2 linked regions of the Struthio camelus genome follow. The protein of the gene in region 1 interacts with the protein of each later gene in a pairwise test. Links are inferred from orthologs where the notes say so. Each region holds a gene or a part of one and is shown in the gene's direction. Other genes may lie near its edges.

Region 1 (7,762 bases):
GAAGGGTGGGAGGAGGTGTTGGGGAGACCAAGGTTATGCAAAGGATTGGGGAAGCGGCTTTGTGGTAGGAAGGAATGCAGTTTCTGTGCTTTAAAGGCTCCCTCTGAGCTTTTGTTTCAGCTCCCCAGCAGCAGAGCAGCAGTGCTCTTCTGCGAGAAGCCCTTTGACCACTGATGCCTTTTTGCAGAATGCTTGGATGCCTCTGCTTTATGCAAAGTCAAGAATGTTTGGGTACTGAGCTGGGCATTTGCCTATACAAATCAGTCTGGGTTTCTTTTAGGTTTAACCAACTAATTTCCTGAGTTTTAAGTGCTTGCTTTTGGAAACATAATTATAGAATTCTTCTTTACACATTCTGTCTTCCACTTTTTTCCATCCACCAGCACTTTGTTCCTGTTTCCTTTTTCAGCCAGTCCCAGTTATCCACTCCGAGGTCTTCACTCAGCTTTTCTCTGTCTCTAGACCCAGCCACCAGACATGTCCGTATTAGATCCCAGTTGCCTTATCCTCAAAGTCAGCATTCAATTTTTGTCAGCTAGTCTTATTTCTTCCTCTCATACCAACTTTTCCGACACTTGCCTCTTCCTGGCTTCTCTTTATGTGAATGGTTCTCAGTTCCAGTACATTTATTCAGTCATTTCTAGTTTTCCCATCTCATATCCCCTTACGGTTTCAGTCTCATCAGTTACTAACTCCTAGTTCTCTTCCCTCCCTCTCATTTGTACCCCAGCTTCCTACTCAATATTCTTGTCTTTTGAAGATTGATTTCAAACCCCTCCCACAACCTCTAGTCTCAGTTTTCTTCTTCCCACCCTACCCTTCAATCACATATTGTTATTTTTGCTTGTCCCACTCTATCACGTCTGTCTCCCTGAAGGTCCAATTCTTTGCCCCCTTCATTCAGATCAGACAGCTTTCCCTTCCATTTTATCTGAGACTGAGAGATGTTATTTGGAACACAAGACATGCTTTCTCTCAGTCTGTGTTTTCTCTCAGTATGCTGTTTCTCATTATGCTTTCTCTCAGTATGCTGTTTTCTCTCAGTTCAAGTGCATGGATTTAGCTCAAGCCCCACAACAGCCCAGAGACAAACGCAGGGAAAAACCTGCTGAACCCTGTACTGGACCACAACTGATAACAGTTAAAACTTTCAGAGGATAAAATCTAAGAAGTTCTCACTAAGCATATGTAAACTGCATTTTTTTCTGTAGTTTATAACATGGAACAACTCAGGTTGATTTTCATGTAGCCAGTCAAAAGTACACCCCTGAACTAAAAGCTACTAAAGCATCAAATGTCTAGAAAGATCCAAAATATGAGATGTACAGTGTAGGGATATAAAATGGTTGTGCAGGAGCAAGCTCTGATGAGCAGGATCAGCATTAACACAGGTCTAGTAAGTCCTCAGAGACCCGAGTTCTGCCAATGAGGTCAAGTGCCTTTGCACCACGTGCCCCAGAGCTTTGTGGTCCAAAAGCACAATACTAAGACACCAAGTTCTTCCTGGAAACAGTCTAGCTGGTTTCATGGGGTGCAGCACTTGAGCAAACGAATCCTGCCAGACCTGTGCTCTGCACATAGCCAGCTCAGCTATCTCAGCATTTGTACCAGTAAATCTAAAACCCAGAAAACTGCAAGTTAATTATACTAACCTTGTCCTCAGACCCTGGATTGCTGAGGTGATATTTTCACAAAACAAACCTGAAAGGTAGAAAGATAAAAAGATACAGACAAAAAATCAGATGGTGTGACAGAAACAAAAAGCTAAAAAAGCCCAGAGTAGACAAGCAGTATATATATTTTCTGCCTGAACAGCTAAATTTGGTCTAAGTCGTAACCATCTAAAAACACATTCTTTTAATAGGAAGTTGGGTAGTCTTATTAGAAGGAGGTGCTGCTAACTTTGTCTATAAATAATAAATCCTTGTGTTTCTCTGTATAAGCCAGGCTGTAACTATCCAAAATCAGGAAGATACATCACATAGCCTGTCACTGCAGGTCATCTATTACTGTTGTTTTTTAAACTTGACTCTGAAATACATGACAAAGCCACTGTCTCAGGCACAGAAAAATAGTTTCAGACTTGTAAGATTGTTCCTCTGACAAGAAAGGACACCCTTTTCCCTCCTATTTACTGTTCTCACAAAACTCCAGATATATTTATTACATATTTCTTTACATGTTCGTGCATTAGTTTCACTGCGGTAGAGGATGAATCTTCATATACTTTCTTAAAAACTGTCTAGTGTTGTGGTGCACTGATAAGAAGTTATCACAATCCACTACACACATGGGTCTATTTTTGGGACAGTGAAGCAATCCCTATCATATATTTCATTTGTATTAGCAGTTTTGTTAGTGAAAGTGGCTCTATAAATAAATAAACAAAATAATATAGAAAATGCTAGAAAAAGGTTCATTAACACTACAATGCTGCCACCTGGTAACCAGAAGTGTAATAGCAGGGAAAACATTTGTTTTGCTCTGCCTTGAACAAGCTGACATATTTTAAATAATATATTTAAAATCACATAATGGTAAAGTTATAACCGTGGGATAGGATCATTTCCCTGTGTCAGATGAAATAATTCTTGTTGCTCTGTTTCACTAGGAGAAGAAGTAACTCATACCCTCTCAAAATTAAACATGATTCTAAATCCTGGAAAGTATCTATGGAGAATACCCAGCTAAGGGACTGAGTCAGCACAGTACTTGTATCAAATACGCCTAATTCTGAGCACAAAAGTAATCAAAATGAAGTCCACAGTTAAAGTTATTCAAGCCCTTCAGTAGCTCGCTGAATTAAAACCACATCCACTACATGTTTACAAAGAGAATCAAATTTACAGTGAGAAAGATATGGAATAGATTAAATGAAATCCTAAGCAAAGAGCCAAAGAAAATACGATGGCAGGTGTTTTATGTAGGTGAAAAATCCATTCAGGAAAAGGAAAATGATACACTCACATTGAGTAAGGACTAACTATTTAAAAACATATATATATATATTTATAGGTTGGGAAACATGAAAGGCATTGGGAAAAGGTTCCCAGGCACTCATAGCAGTCCATAACTCTTTAGCCCTAAAAAAGTTTCTAAGTATCTGTCATGAATAAGCAAGAGAGATTATGAACAGACTAAATCTTATTTACAAATTTTCAGAAAGCACCACAGGGACGAACTCCTGTACGCTCCACTCCCAGCATTAATAAAGAACTGCGGAGTATATTGTTTAGCTTTCCATCCTAATACACACTGGGAACACTCCATCATCTGATTTTATATATATCCTTGCTGACCTATTATCCCATTATACTTTATTTTTCAGATTAGTGTAAACTTCTCTCAAATTCCCTAGGAAACAATGGCTTACAGATGGTTACTACCCACAAATAACACATCGTTTGAATTTAATCTAAAGTATGATTGTATCACCTTTCAAAGGAAGCATGGTTTAGAGCATCCAATACATTTCCAAAGGGAAACATTCACACGCAATTCTTCTATCACCCATCGGATGGCAGGATTAATTCCCCATCTGCTTTAGAGCAAGCAGGACCTTTCCATCACTTTGGAAGTGAGGCCGCGATCTCTGTTATAGACACACCATCTTCAGAAGTTAGTGTTTTATGTAAACCTGCACAGCTTTATTTTTTTGTCCTAAAAGAATAGGAGGTGCTGTGATAAAAGTATAGACAACATTCAGACACTGAGTGACAATTTCTGAAATAGCAATACCAGAATAATTTCCTGGTGAGATACCCTAAGATTTTCTACGTAATTCAGCCAAATTAAAACTTCTAGAGGTATCTAATAAAGCCCTGGAACCATTTTTCAAATGGTGCTAAAAAAAATAAAAACATGTCTGGCAGTTTTCACGAGATTTATGCTGCAGAACAAGTGGGTGGATGGGGAGGGATGACTGAAACTATTTAAGTAGTGTCATGCTTTCCAGTTGTGACTGCAAATGTCAGTAATGTACAAGTGTCTCTGAAAAAGTAAGTTCCTTCCCAAAGGCTCACATTTAGTTCTACAGAGTCTTCAGTAGAAGAGAAAAAAAAAAAAAAACAAGAAAAAAGCTTTCTGAGGAGCCATTCAGGTCTGACTCGATTATAACAATAACAGAGCCTGAAACAGCAGCAAGTATGCAAGCAAACACACACAGTTAGTATAGAACCAGCATACAGGACATATAATTGCCAAATCCAGTTTATAAAATGTGCTATAAACACGGGCAGTGTAGGAATTCTTAATGAATTATATATATGTGAGGACAGAAAAAGCATTGTATGCATGTGCAGCATCAGATTGTCCTCCGGTTTGTACCAATAGATCAGTGGTAGCCAGTCTTGAGCAGTGTGAGCTCTCTGGCTCCTGGAACTTGCTATATTTATCCTGGCTGATGTAGTCTGTCAAGTGTGTCCTGGTGTTGATAAGGTGCCGTAGCTGACAACAGTGGGGAATCAAGGGGGAGGAGCAGGATGGGGGCTTCCACTCAGTGTTTCTTTAGGGGGTCCCAAAAGCCTTGCAGTCTCATTCCTATTCAGCTCAGATCCTGCTTTCTAGATACAACTGGGAGCTTCAGCAGAAACAAAGTGAAGATGCCAGAGCCTGTAAAGAAAACAGGTAAGGATCACAACTGACAGAAAAATTTTGGGCTAGTTTTTGTATGCTAGAGAAATGAGATGCCTCAATAACAAAATAATAGAGAGAGAACAGAAACAATATTTTATAAACTTATTAAAACCGAGATGTCGGGTAATCTTGTAGAGAAATCAGTAACTCATTTGGCAACCCTCAGTCACAAAATTATCTCCAGAGACTTTGGATGAGGGGGGAGGATAGAGGTGAAACATATTGAATTCTCCGATTTTTTCCGTTTCTCACCTCCTCTCCCAGTCACCTTCAGGGCTGTGAAAGAAGCCTATAGTCTCTCTCTTGGGCCTTTTGGGCGGTATAAATATCTCCTGGGGTTTTTTTCATGATACCTGCCAGAAAGTATCAGTAGCAACCTTTGATTGTATTTTTTGGTAGTGAAATCTCTACGAAAATTAAAGCTCACGGCAGCTGGTTCAGAACTTACTCTCTTTAAAATTAAGAACTAAGGAGATGCATACACAGGAAAAAAGAGGAGGTCTAGAAAGTATAAGATGGGGTGCAAGGACACTGTGTGTCTGAGAAGGAGGAAGAAGAGACAGTGGGAAGCACAGCTAGGGAGAGTTTACCTGCAGAACATGTGTGTGGATAGAGAAAGATGGCTCCGGAGCGCTCCATGCCCACAATTAAGTTTGAAAAAAAGATATTGAAAGGTAAAGTTATGATTGTTTGAAAAATGCAAATACAGTATACAGTGATGGAGGAAACTGTACTAAATCTGGGATTCTTCACTTTTAGAGCCAGACTTTCATTTCATTGATGCCAGCGTATACTCAGAATCACTAATATCAGAATGTACAGTACGAGATGCACGGTTTTTTTACAGCACACACTTTCCAGGGTTAGTCAGTAATAGCTGTTGATACTTATTAATGTAGGCCTTTTTGTACTTTGCAAAAGACTGAACAGCCATTGATCCCCTGTTATGCTGGTCAAGGGGAAAATCTGCTGTGCCTGCCACAACAAAAGAGCCTGTATTTGTTAGGAAGATCTTTCATTTTGGCCAAATATTTGGAATCAGACGCTGCCAGAGACAGATCACAAATCCAAACCATGTCGCTCATTAAGAACTGCAAAGCATTAAAGCATGGCTCATTTCAACAAGACTCTCTATGTCCTTCTATACTAAAACTCTGAAGCGACAGTGGTGTCATCAGTTCTTCAGTTTCTACACAACTATCACAACATTTGATGTTCTTAGAGCTGCAGTTTCTGGGATCAGATGAAAGTGCAATCTTATGTAAAAAATAAGTATATACCAGACCTCGGGACTGTAGAGAAAACCTTGAAAATATGAGCTGTAAAGGTTCACCAATCACAAAATACAAGATATCCATAAATGTATTATATTTTTAAAATCACATGATGTTTGAGATTTCTTGAAAGATCAAATGTTTGCGATTGCCAATGATGGCAAAAAGATTGAGTAGCTGAAATTTGACAGTGTAATCTCCTAGGCATTGTTACTTCTGATTTTTAATGGTTTAACTGCCTTTGATAAAGCAGTCAGTTTTTGCATTTGTAAATTCCTTTTGTATAGATTAAAAACTTCATATTAACATTTTGCACCTCTCAGGATGGGCTTCTCTGACTGTGAAGTTGCCCACCTTTGCTAGTTAACGATGAAGAAAAATGGACCTTATTATTCCAGCTTACTTCTCCAAAGAGAAGAAATCTGACAGGCATCTAATATCACTAGTCCTACTCAATTCTTGTGAACAAACGAGCCCAAACATTGTGATGATCACAGCAGGGGGAGGAAAAGCTCTTATTACCCACTCTGACTGAGACAGAACCAGTCACATGCCCCATAACTTCTAGAGCGGATCTTTGTATTCTCCCAAGAGATATTAATCCCTTTGGTTTTCTACTTCAAGTTGTTTATATAGTTCAAACCATGTCAAGACAGGATAATGTTGTGTGTGATCTCAGGAGGGCTGAATAAGCATCTAGCAGTTCCTTCTTGGACAAATCGTGATTCCTGGCTTTTGCATATCACATAGTTATAACACTCTATGAGGATCTCTAGGGTGTATTACTGGAATTAGGGCATCCAGTGTATACGTAAGGGAAAATGCTTCAAGCCAGAGAATAATCAGAAATATTCTATCACATCTGCTCTTTTAACAACCTGTTCACTACGTAAAAAAGAAAAAAAAAAGAAAGAAAGAAAAAAAGAAAAAAAAAGTCTGTAAACGTTTAAACTAAAGCCGTGAAATAGATTTCCCAACAGACATTCTTTTATTACAAATTGTCCAACTCAAATACTTCAGGATGAGGCACTGTCCTATTTCTTTACAGCATACCAGAAGAATTGGAGTGGCTTTCCAGAATATCTATACACTCCTCAACAGTAACAGCATTTAGAACATCAGCAGCAATTCAGTTTCAGAACAAACTATCAAACGTTGAAAAACATCACTTTTTGCAGAATTCAGTTGCAGAAACTTTTTGTTCTTTTATCTCTCTCATTTAAACTTTTCATAGTTGGTCTCTGTTCAAAGGCTGATCTGTTTTTTGTTGTGAAAAAGACAAAAAAGGTTAAAAGATCTCAACCATTTCCGTAATAATATTTTGTGACAGTAAGAGGAAACAGCTGACCTTTTAAACATCAAATTTAGTACATAAACACAACTTAATGGAAAATGTGGGCATTACTAAATCTGGAAAAAGCTGAAGCCTGGTATTAGTCATATTCTCTGAAAATCAGTCCATTTTTGTTCATCTTTTTTATACACTGAGAAGTCTATATTTTGCAGTTCAGGTTAGGAAATTTTATCAAAGGTTTATAAATAACCTGGCTGTAAGTGCACAGCCCTACTGGTATTCCATAAGAAGCAATATTGCATAATAATGAAAGGGATGTAGAATTTTAGTTTGAATAGAAGCTCCTCATTTTACATTCGTAAGCATCGAGCACAATAATGTAAAGAACTTCCATGCACTACAGTAATACAAAAATAAATAATAATACATATAGATATATTTTCATTTTCTGTAATTCAAGGTTTAAAACAAGCCAAACATTATCATCCCCATTCTACAGAAAGTATGATGGACAAATAGAGAGTTGGGTGACTCTGGTTAGTGAAGCTATTCCTCGCCT
Region 2 (8,428 bases), about 11 Mb from region 1:
CTCTCCCTTCTCTTTCCCTCTCTCTCCTTTAATTATTCTCCTCTGTTATCTTTAAGTACCTAGGTATTAATCTACATAATTTATATACTTACAGAACACCTGCCATGACTCCATTGTCATTTCATTATACCTGTTGGGTGACCGTTCGGCAACTTTCAGCTTTTTACAGTCACATGCAAGAAGGAAATGTAGTCTAAATTAAAATAATCACAAATTTCAGATGACTGTGTAGAATTTAGCCTTAAGCACTGGTGTTTTGTGGAGCTATTCCTAATATAAAAGACTCTCAAACTCTTTGGTTGATCTATCAATTACCTTTAGAGTTGCTATTTATTTGTACAGTGCTAGCGTCTGGAGACTCATCAAAGATCAAGGGATGATTATGTGACGCTGAACAAACACGCACAAAGCTGTCTTTCATGTTCCATCTCCTCTGGTGTTCAAGTCAGAATTTTTTTTTTATAACTAAACAGTCAAAATGAGATTTGGAGTCTGTTAGAAAAACTGTCCGTCAGCAGTCTCATGTGAAGCTGGTGTCTCTCACAGATGCAGCACAGGACTGGCAGCCAACATACACGCTGGAAACAGTTGATGTGCTCAGGACCTATTTCCATCTTCCTGAACTACTCTGTGTCCCTCGGGATTTCATTTCAGTCCTACCCCTGTCGCACCTGCCATGCTACAGCTTGTGAGAGAAACAGCATTTCTGGAAGCAAGAAATTCCTCCCGTGCAGCCTTCATGTTTTCAGAAACTCTCAACGGTCTCTGAGCCCTTCTTCCTGCTGCAAAGAGAGTATAACAGGAGCGAGAACCTCGGCCTTTAGTTGTAAGTGACGTTGCAAATAATGACTCCTGAGGGTCAGAGACTCAGAAGCATAAATTCCTTTCACTACTGCTCACCTCTGCTTGTTGCCCGTCCCTGCTTCTCTCAGCTGCATAACAAGATGTTTTAGGTGCATCTCTAACTCCTAGTGCCCACCTCATCATTCTATCATTTCAGTGCACACTTAAGATGTTTTAGGTTAATTATAGATGTGCAGCAGTACATGAGTGAGTGAGAGAAAGAGGGAGAGAGATGATAACAGTCTGCAACTATGTGAAGGGTTTAAATGCTGAGGAGGAGACAGGGAATGTAGGGAGCATGATACATGGACTATAACTAGTGCGAATTAGATGCAACTAAGAAAGGGAAACATCTGAATTGACCGGAGAAGTTTGCTTGACAGTGTGATTATTAACTTGGGAGACTGTCTTGTAGCAGAACAGGAGAAAGATTCCTCACTTGGGACTTTCAAAATCAGACTGGGAAATATAAGGGAATGTTTCATAGGGAACGCCTGTAGGTTGGGGGCGACTACAGAGTTGTCTTTTCTGGCTTCCCTGTGTATATCTGCACAGACACGGACAATACTAGACATAACTGCACAGACACAAACAGCCACACATGACCCCCCCCCCCCCCAAGTATGGGATGATGATATTCATATGATACGTTGCAGTGCACCTTTAACATTCTCATCGCATCAGGACTCCTGCCCATTTCTAAGACTCTGCAATGCTTTTTATATTCCTAAAGCACATGCAGCTCCAAACAGCTGTCATGGGACAAAGGAAAACCTGTCAGAGCAGTATTTGCTTCCTATTCTTACAGAGGGAAAATTTCTTCCAAAGATCACACTGGCCTGAGGCTTAGGAAAGGTAAGAGTCAGCTCTGAGCCAGGACAAATTTTATATGTCATGATCCACAGGATTTAGAAATAGGAGACTTTAGCCCGTGAGAAGAGGGAAGTCTTCTGTTCTAAGATGTACCAGGTCAGGGTATACTGTACTTTGAAATCAACATAATGATAGAGTTTGATGTATTATGAAAGTTTATTGGCTTTCTTTGGAGCATCTATAGACAACCAAATATAATCAGAAAGATCAAAAAATACACATAAAGAGGGCCTGATCCCACACATTTTAATTGTCTGAATGCCATGTTCACTACTGTAAATAATCTGAAGTCTGGGGTAATAAGTGTTCAATGCTTGAAGCAAGGTTTTATTTTTAGACTACCTGTTTTCCTCACTCAAAAGCTGAATAGGAACAGGAGATGTGAGGATTTCTGGGCATCATAAGACCACAGTGTGATTTTTTTTATTTGCATTTTTTAGTATGCAGCGCCAAGAACTCATAATTCACTCGTCGTGTTCTGATTTCGACTCTAGTCACAAAAGTGTCTCATTAGTTGAATAACACATCCTGTTTTGCTTATGCCCATGTGTCAGATAAACACATTATTTGTGCTACCCCATTATCTATATATTATTTGTGGGACTCCATTGACTCTGGCTAGACATTAAGCCTTCATATTCCTGTCTGTTCAAGCTCTTTTGAGGTGTGTGCAGATCAGTCCACTGCAGGTCTGTTTGCTGTCCTAACCCTCCCTTCTGCTTGCTGTTCCTTTGCCTCTGGGGTGCCTCCCAGTAGCTAAGTCATGGGAAATGCATAGAGCAGTTAGGGAGCCCGGTCATTCAGAAACTAGAGTATTTTTCCTCTGGCTAACTTTATGTAACACGCTGCAGCAGCTTTTTATTTGTTGGCTTGTTTTGTGTATTTGAGGCTGTAATATCACTTTTTGCAGAGCAGGACAACTTTGGCCAAAGGAATAAGTTTATCTGGGCACTTTTAGGAATGGCTAGGAGGGAGCAGATGCCATTTTGGATTTACGTACATTGTGTGATGCCCTGTTCATTTGACCTTGCGATATACAGTAAGTAGAGAGAGAGAGGAAAGAAAGTGATGAGCTCTCAAGTGTATCAGGATCCCAGATACGAATCCTACTGTATCAGAAATTTAAAACTTCAGGAAAGGGTAGAGAAAGCCAATATTTACTTATAAAGGAAACAGAAGAAAATGCAGGCTGCCTTGCATAGATTTTGCATGCAAGAGCTGGCTCTGTCTGTCTCACTTTCAACAGAGAGTCTCTCTCTCCCCAGCCCAGGGGAATGTAGGATGTGACAGGGAAGGTCTGATTGAGGAGGAATTCAATGCAGCTATCAGCAACTGGCTTCTATGTAAATACTGTAACACCTCTGAACGGAGGAACAGCTGAGATAACACTGAAAGCTAATCTCTAGTGCCGGTGAAGCTGGCCAATCCCTCACGTTATATGGCTTCTGTAGAAAAGATGTGGTAGGGAAAAAAAGAAGCAAATTTAAATTGTATGTGGCAACTCACTATGGACTAAAATGTACTGAATTTTTTAAACTGAAAAACAGGGTACAACAATGTATTTTTCCATTGAAATGTTACTCTGCGCACACATAGTCCATGCTATCTATGCATATATATGACTTCTTATATAAACAGGCATATGGAAATCTACATTGCTATCACCAAAATATTTTCAACCCCGCTACCTACGCCTGATGGATTTAGGTAATTATATACTTACTTGGAGTCCTTATCTCACCAGTATTGATGCTGGATGATTTTTCATCAATAGCAGGAAAGTTAGCAAAGTCAATGTTTGCCACTGGTTCCAGACTAGAAGCACTGAAGGACAGTCCTTCCCTCCTGTAACCTTTTTAGGTCACTGCACTTCACAGTCTTGCACCTCACTCTCCCACACAGCTAAAAAATAGATTACATATATGTATATATATACATACATACACACGTGTGCGCGCACACACACACACACACACACACACACATCTTGCATATATTTGTGTGTATACATATATATACTTTTATATATTTATGAATATACACACACATCTTTACATACAAATAGTGTCTCACCTGAAACAGACTGTCTCTCCTCAAGGCATTTAAAGAAAAGCAGGAGCTAACAATGGCCAAGAAGTGTATTGCTATATGTATCTCAGAGTTGTGTTCATAACTGGGCACAGCCCCAAGATAAGCTGGGGCTGGGGTGGAGCTAACCACCTCATTAAATGTGTTAGAAACGAGCAAACTGATTCCACTATCTCCTGTTTCAGAAGAAATTAAAGTCTAAGAGTCTGACGCCCCCTTTGGTTACATCCGATTTAGAAATGAGTAGTAGGCAATTTCCAGTCTTTGTACCCTTTGTTAGAGCCAAATCACTGTGCAAAGATAGCTCCTACACCAGAAAAGAAAAGAAAAGAAAAGAAAAGAAAAGAAAAGAAAAGAAAAGAAAAGAAAAGAAAAGAAAAGAAAAGAAAAGAAAAGAAAAGAAAAGAAAAGAAAAGAGAAAAGAAAAGAAAAGAAAAGAGAAAAATTGCAGGCCGGATGACATTCACAAGCTCTTTCCTTCCACTTCATTCAAAATGTACTGCGTAGCGGTGCCAGCCCTTTTGCAGCAGCTAAGAAACTCGACCTGTGTGTGTTCAGCGGTGGATCCAGTTCACTGAGCTTTCCCCTCTTGACCCCCACATCCCACCCTTCCCTTCTGCCCCCAAACTCAATTCTTGTTTTCCCAGTGCGTCTTATGCAGGCAGACATCAGCGCGGGGTAGTTTGTGAGCTCCCCAAAGACACTGTACTCCGCACTGTAATGCAGCTCCTCCAGGACACAGGTTGACAGTCTCTGCCTCCGCATACCAGGCCAAACCCACTCAAGGGATGCCTCTCCAGCGGTTCTATTTTTAACTGAAAAAAAATTCTTTAAGAAATATGAATTTGCTAGGTTCTACCGCTGGAACAAATTATCAGTGTGGATGTTTCAACAACTGAGCAGGAAAACAACTGCCACATTACATTAATGCCGTAGCTGTTTCTTGTCCAAGCTATTCCCATCTCTCCTCCTCCGCCCTACACTTATCACTATGCCTTACTGATCCAGGGCGCATTAAAAGGGCAAAAATGGGGAGTTTAAATACATGCAGGCTAACGCGAACCAGCAGACCCCACTTCGTGCTATAGCTGCTGCCAGCCAAAATCGGGGAGAAGCACGGCCGCTGCCTGCATGGGCTCTTCAAAAGTTGCAAAGACACCGAGCGGGCGGCGCTCCCTCCCCAGGCAACGCAGCAAGCACATGCCGCCACGGCGCAGAGCCAAAGCCCGAGCCGTGGCCACCGCGGGGGTCGTCGACTAAGGAAGAGCCCGACTTGTCTTCGGTTAAAGAAGAAAAGCCGGGCTGGGGCTGGGGGGGCTGGGAGACCCTTCAGCCTCCCTCAGCCTTGAAGCCGCGCGCCGGCCCCTCGGGGCATCGCGGGCGCCTCCGCGGGCCCCGCCGCCGCCCAGGCCGCCGGGCGCCCCCCGCTCCCAATTTGGCCATGCGGCGGGCCGGGGGCGCGCGGCCCCGCGCCTGCCTTACAAGGGCCGGGCGGCCGCGCCGCGCCCCGCGCCCTGCGCCATTCATGGCCGCGCGGCGCCTCCATGGCGCGAAGCGACCAAATAAGGAGACGGCGGCGGCCCCCCGTCCCGCGGGAGCCGCCGCCGCCGCCGCGCGGGGTATAAAGCGGCGCGCCTCCCCCGGGCCGGCACCCAGCCTCGCCTCGGGAGCGCCACCGCCGCTGCCGCCGCCGCCCCTCTGGTGAGTAGCGCGGCGGCGCCCTCGGCTGCCCGCGCCGCGCCGCGCAGCAGCGCTCCGCCAGCGGCCAGCCCGGCGGGACGGGACGGGGCGGGGCGGGGCGGGGCGGGCGGGCGGCGCTGTCCGCTTGTGCAGCCGCCGCGGCGGTTTTGCCCTTCGGCGGGGCGCGGCCGCGGCCGGAGCCGGAGCCGGGGCCGGGGCCGGCGGCGCTGCCCCCTTTTGCCGGGCGGGCCCCGACCGGCGAAGTGCTCGAGGCCGAGCCGTTCCCTCTCCGATTTCAAACGCTTTTCTCTTCCGTTACAAATCTGTGGCCCGAAGGTACCGCTAATGAACCATAGTGCTAATGAAGGTCCGCGAAGCCGGAGGCGGGAGTGGGGGGGGGGGGGGCGGTGTCTCCAGGGCGGCGCGGCAGCGGAGGGGGAGCCGCGGCCGCGGCGGTGGGGCGAGGGCCCGGCCCGCTCTGGACGCGCCGCCGCGCTGTTTTGCAGGTCCGCGCCCCTGCCCGAGGATGTGTGACGACGAGGAGACCACCGCGCTGGTGTGCGACAACGGCTCGGGGCTCGTCAAGGCGGGCTTTGCCGGCGACGATGCCCCCAGGGCCGTTTTCCCGTCCATCGTCGGCCGCCCGAGGCACCAGGTAAAGCTGCTGCCCGCTGGGGCAGGGCCGAGGCTGCCCCCTTTGCCCAGAAGTCGTCTGTCCTGAGCTCGTGTGTCCTGCCTCCGCCGCCTCCTCTCCGGCTTTCCTCCCTTCTTTTCGTCCTACTTCCTCAGTTCCTCTCCAGTGCTTCCCCCAGCTCCCCTGTTTGGGTCCCCTTTATCTCGCTGCTGTGAGCTTCTCCTCTTCCCCCAGCTTTTTCCAGTTCACCAGCTTTCCCCTTCGTTCTCTCCCTGTTCCCTCTCCTAGCGGGGGAACCCGGGCTGAACCCCGCTTCCTGCAGAGCTGCTTCCCACTAGGCCAGACCTGCTGCTGCTGTTCACCCATACACGCCTCAGTTGACTGAATTTATGCCCGACACAATTTGTTTCGAGGCCCTTCCCCTACCCGTCCTATCTAACCTATCTAACACATACCAGACCCCATCCCTTGAATTTCTTCTGCTTCTTCTGTGTGTCTCTCTCTCTGTCTGTCTCTAATCTTACCTTCTCACCACCCTTCAGGCCTCCCTTTGCTTGTTCCCGTTTCATTGCCCTTCTATTTTGTCACGATTAAATTGGCTTACAGAGAATACAGTACTTTTTCTCCTACAATTCCATGCTAAAAAGTTTGCAGTGCCTTTTTTTTTTTTTTAACAAAAGCGATTTGGTATTGCCATTGACTAGACTGCCATTGCTCACTAGATTATTTCCCTCCACATCTTTTTGTTTATAAACTCTCTTCCTAGGTCTCTTTTCCTGCTCATTATATTGTGCAGCTTACTTTCAGTCAAACTTTTGGACCAGAAAGAAAGAGCTAATTGAAAATCAATGTCATATTTAGAAAAGGGGAAAAAAATTGATCCTTTCATCTGTTAAAGGGAAAAGGATTTTATTGAAAAATGTAAAATTGTGTTGGCTTAATGTTTAGATAATGCACATTTCCTTTCCTAAATGACCTTTTTCTGGCATGACTGATTGCGTCTTTCTGCAAAATAGCGTAGTGTTCTGTGGCATAATTGTTCAGGCTCTGTGATGCTGCCTTCCTCAAATAACGGTTTTCTACATTTTCTTCTTTTAGGGTGTTATGGTTGGTATGGGTCAAAAAGACTCCTATGTAGGCGATGAAGCTCAGAGCAAAAGAGGTATCCTTACTTTGAAATATCCCATTGAACATGGCATCATCACCAACTGGGATGATATGGAAAAGATCTGGCACCACACTTTCTACAATGAACTGCGTGTGGCTCCTGAGGAACACCCCACCCTGCTCACAGAAGCCCCCTTGAACCCTAAAGCAAATCGTGAAAAGATGACCCAGATAATGTTTGAGACCTTCAATGTACCTGCCATGTATGTGGCAATCCAGGCTGTCTTGTCCCTTTATGCTTCTGGTCGTACAACAGGTAAAATAAACAGTCCAAATAGGAAAAAAAAGTAACTCATTCAAAATTACAAAAAAATGTAGGTTTTTTTTTTTGATTGTAGTTACTGACGATAACAGTAGCCGAAAAGCCACTACAAAAGAATCTATTGAAGGAACAATGTGAATTTGTCTGCATTGCTTTAAAGGGGAGACACTGTGGAATTGATTCTCCTGCTTGTCATGATGTAAATAAGGAGTGATTACTGTGAAGATATTGCAGTTACATTGGTGTAAAACTTGTGCAAGAGTTAAACTCTTGGGCCCAAAAGATGTCCATTTTCAGATCAAGGCAATCACCATCACACATACTTGGTAGGAAAAAGCTGCTCAGATGGACCTCATTTAAAATACTTATGGGCAACTGTTTCATGTGAGCGCTCACACCAAACAGGAATATCTGTGCAGGCAAAGGCAGAAGGAATGGACAAGGTCTGTTTTTAGTAACTGGCTAAAATAGAATGACACTACTTTATACCACATGAAAAATCCTACTTTTTTTAATTGTCTGTGTTACTGCTTGTCATATGGTTTCCAAACATTTGTTAGGTGAATTCAGCTACTCTCTAACAATTCTCTCCCAGGTATTGTTCTTGACTCTGGCGATGGTGTCACCCACAATGTACCTATTTATGAAGGTTATGCTCTGCCTCATGCTATCATGCGTCTGGATCTGGCTGGCAGGGATCTGACTGACTACCTCATGAAGATCCTCACTGAGCGTGGCTATTCCTTTGTGACAACAGGTCAGTCCTTCAGCTTCGCCCTCTTGTGAATATCCTCATGTCTCCCTTGATCCATGGATCTTCTTCCTCTAGTGTTTTGCTTCTCCAAACCTTGACTTGGTTTCTGTATGTCTGCAGCTGAACG

The links. The genes of interacting proteins can lie anywhere in the genome.
Region 2: the proteins of MYBPC3 (region 1) and ACTC1 interact in a two-hybrid assay, tested with the Homo sapiens proteins (2 studies listed by IntAct). The link is inferred for Struthio camelus from reciprocal best matches to the Homo sapiens genes MYBPC3 and ACTC1.

What each region holds. Positions count from the first base shown.
Region 1 is NC_090946.1:39,214,684-39,222,445, forward strand, and holds the start of MYBPC3 (myosin-binding protein C, cardiac-type), read left to right. Parts: upstream 1-4,352; 5' UTR 4,353-4,481; coding exon 4,482-4,626; intron 4,627-7,762. UniProt on the Homo sapiens protein: Thick filament-associated protein located in the crossbridge region of vertebrate striated muscle a bands. In vitro it binds MHC, F-actin and native thin filaments, and modifies the activity of actin-activated myosin ATPase.
Region 2 is NC_090946.1:50,646,501-50,654,928, forward strand, and holds the start of ACTC1 (actin, alpha cardiac muscle 1), read left to right. Parts: upstream 1-5,267; 5' UTR 5,268-5,505; intron 5,506-5,687; exon of another isoform or gene 5,688-5,820; intron 5,821-5,990; 5' UTR 5,991-6,010; coding exon 6,011-6,139; intron 6,140-7,216; coding exon 7,217-7,541; intron 7,542-8,142; coding exon 8,143-8,304; intron 8,305-8,421; coding exon 8,422-8,428. UniProt on the Homo sapiens protein: Actins are highly conserved proteins that are involved in various types of cell motility and are ubiquitously expressed in all eukaryotic cells.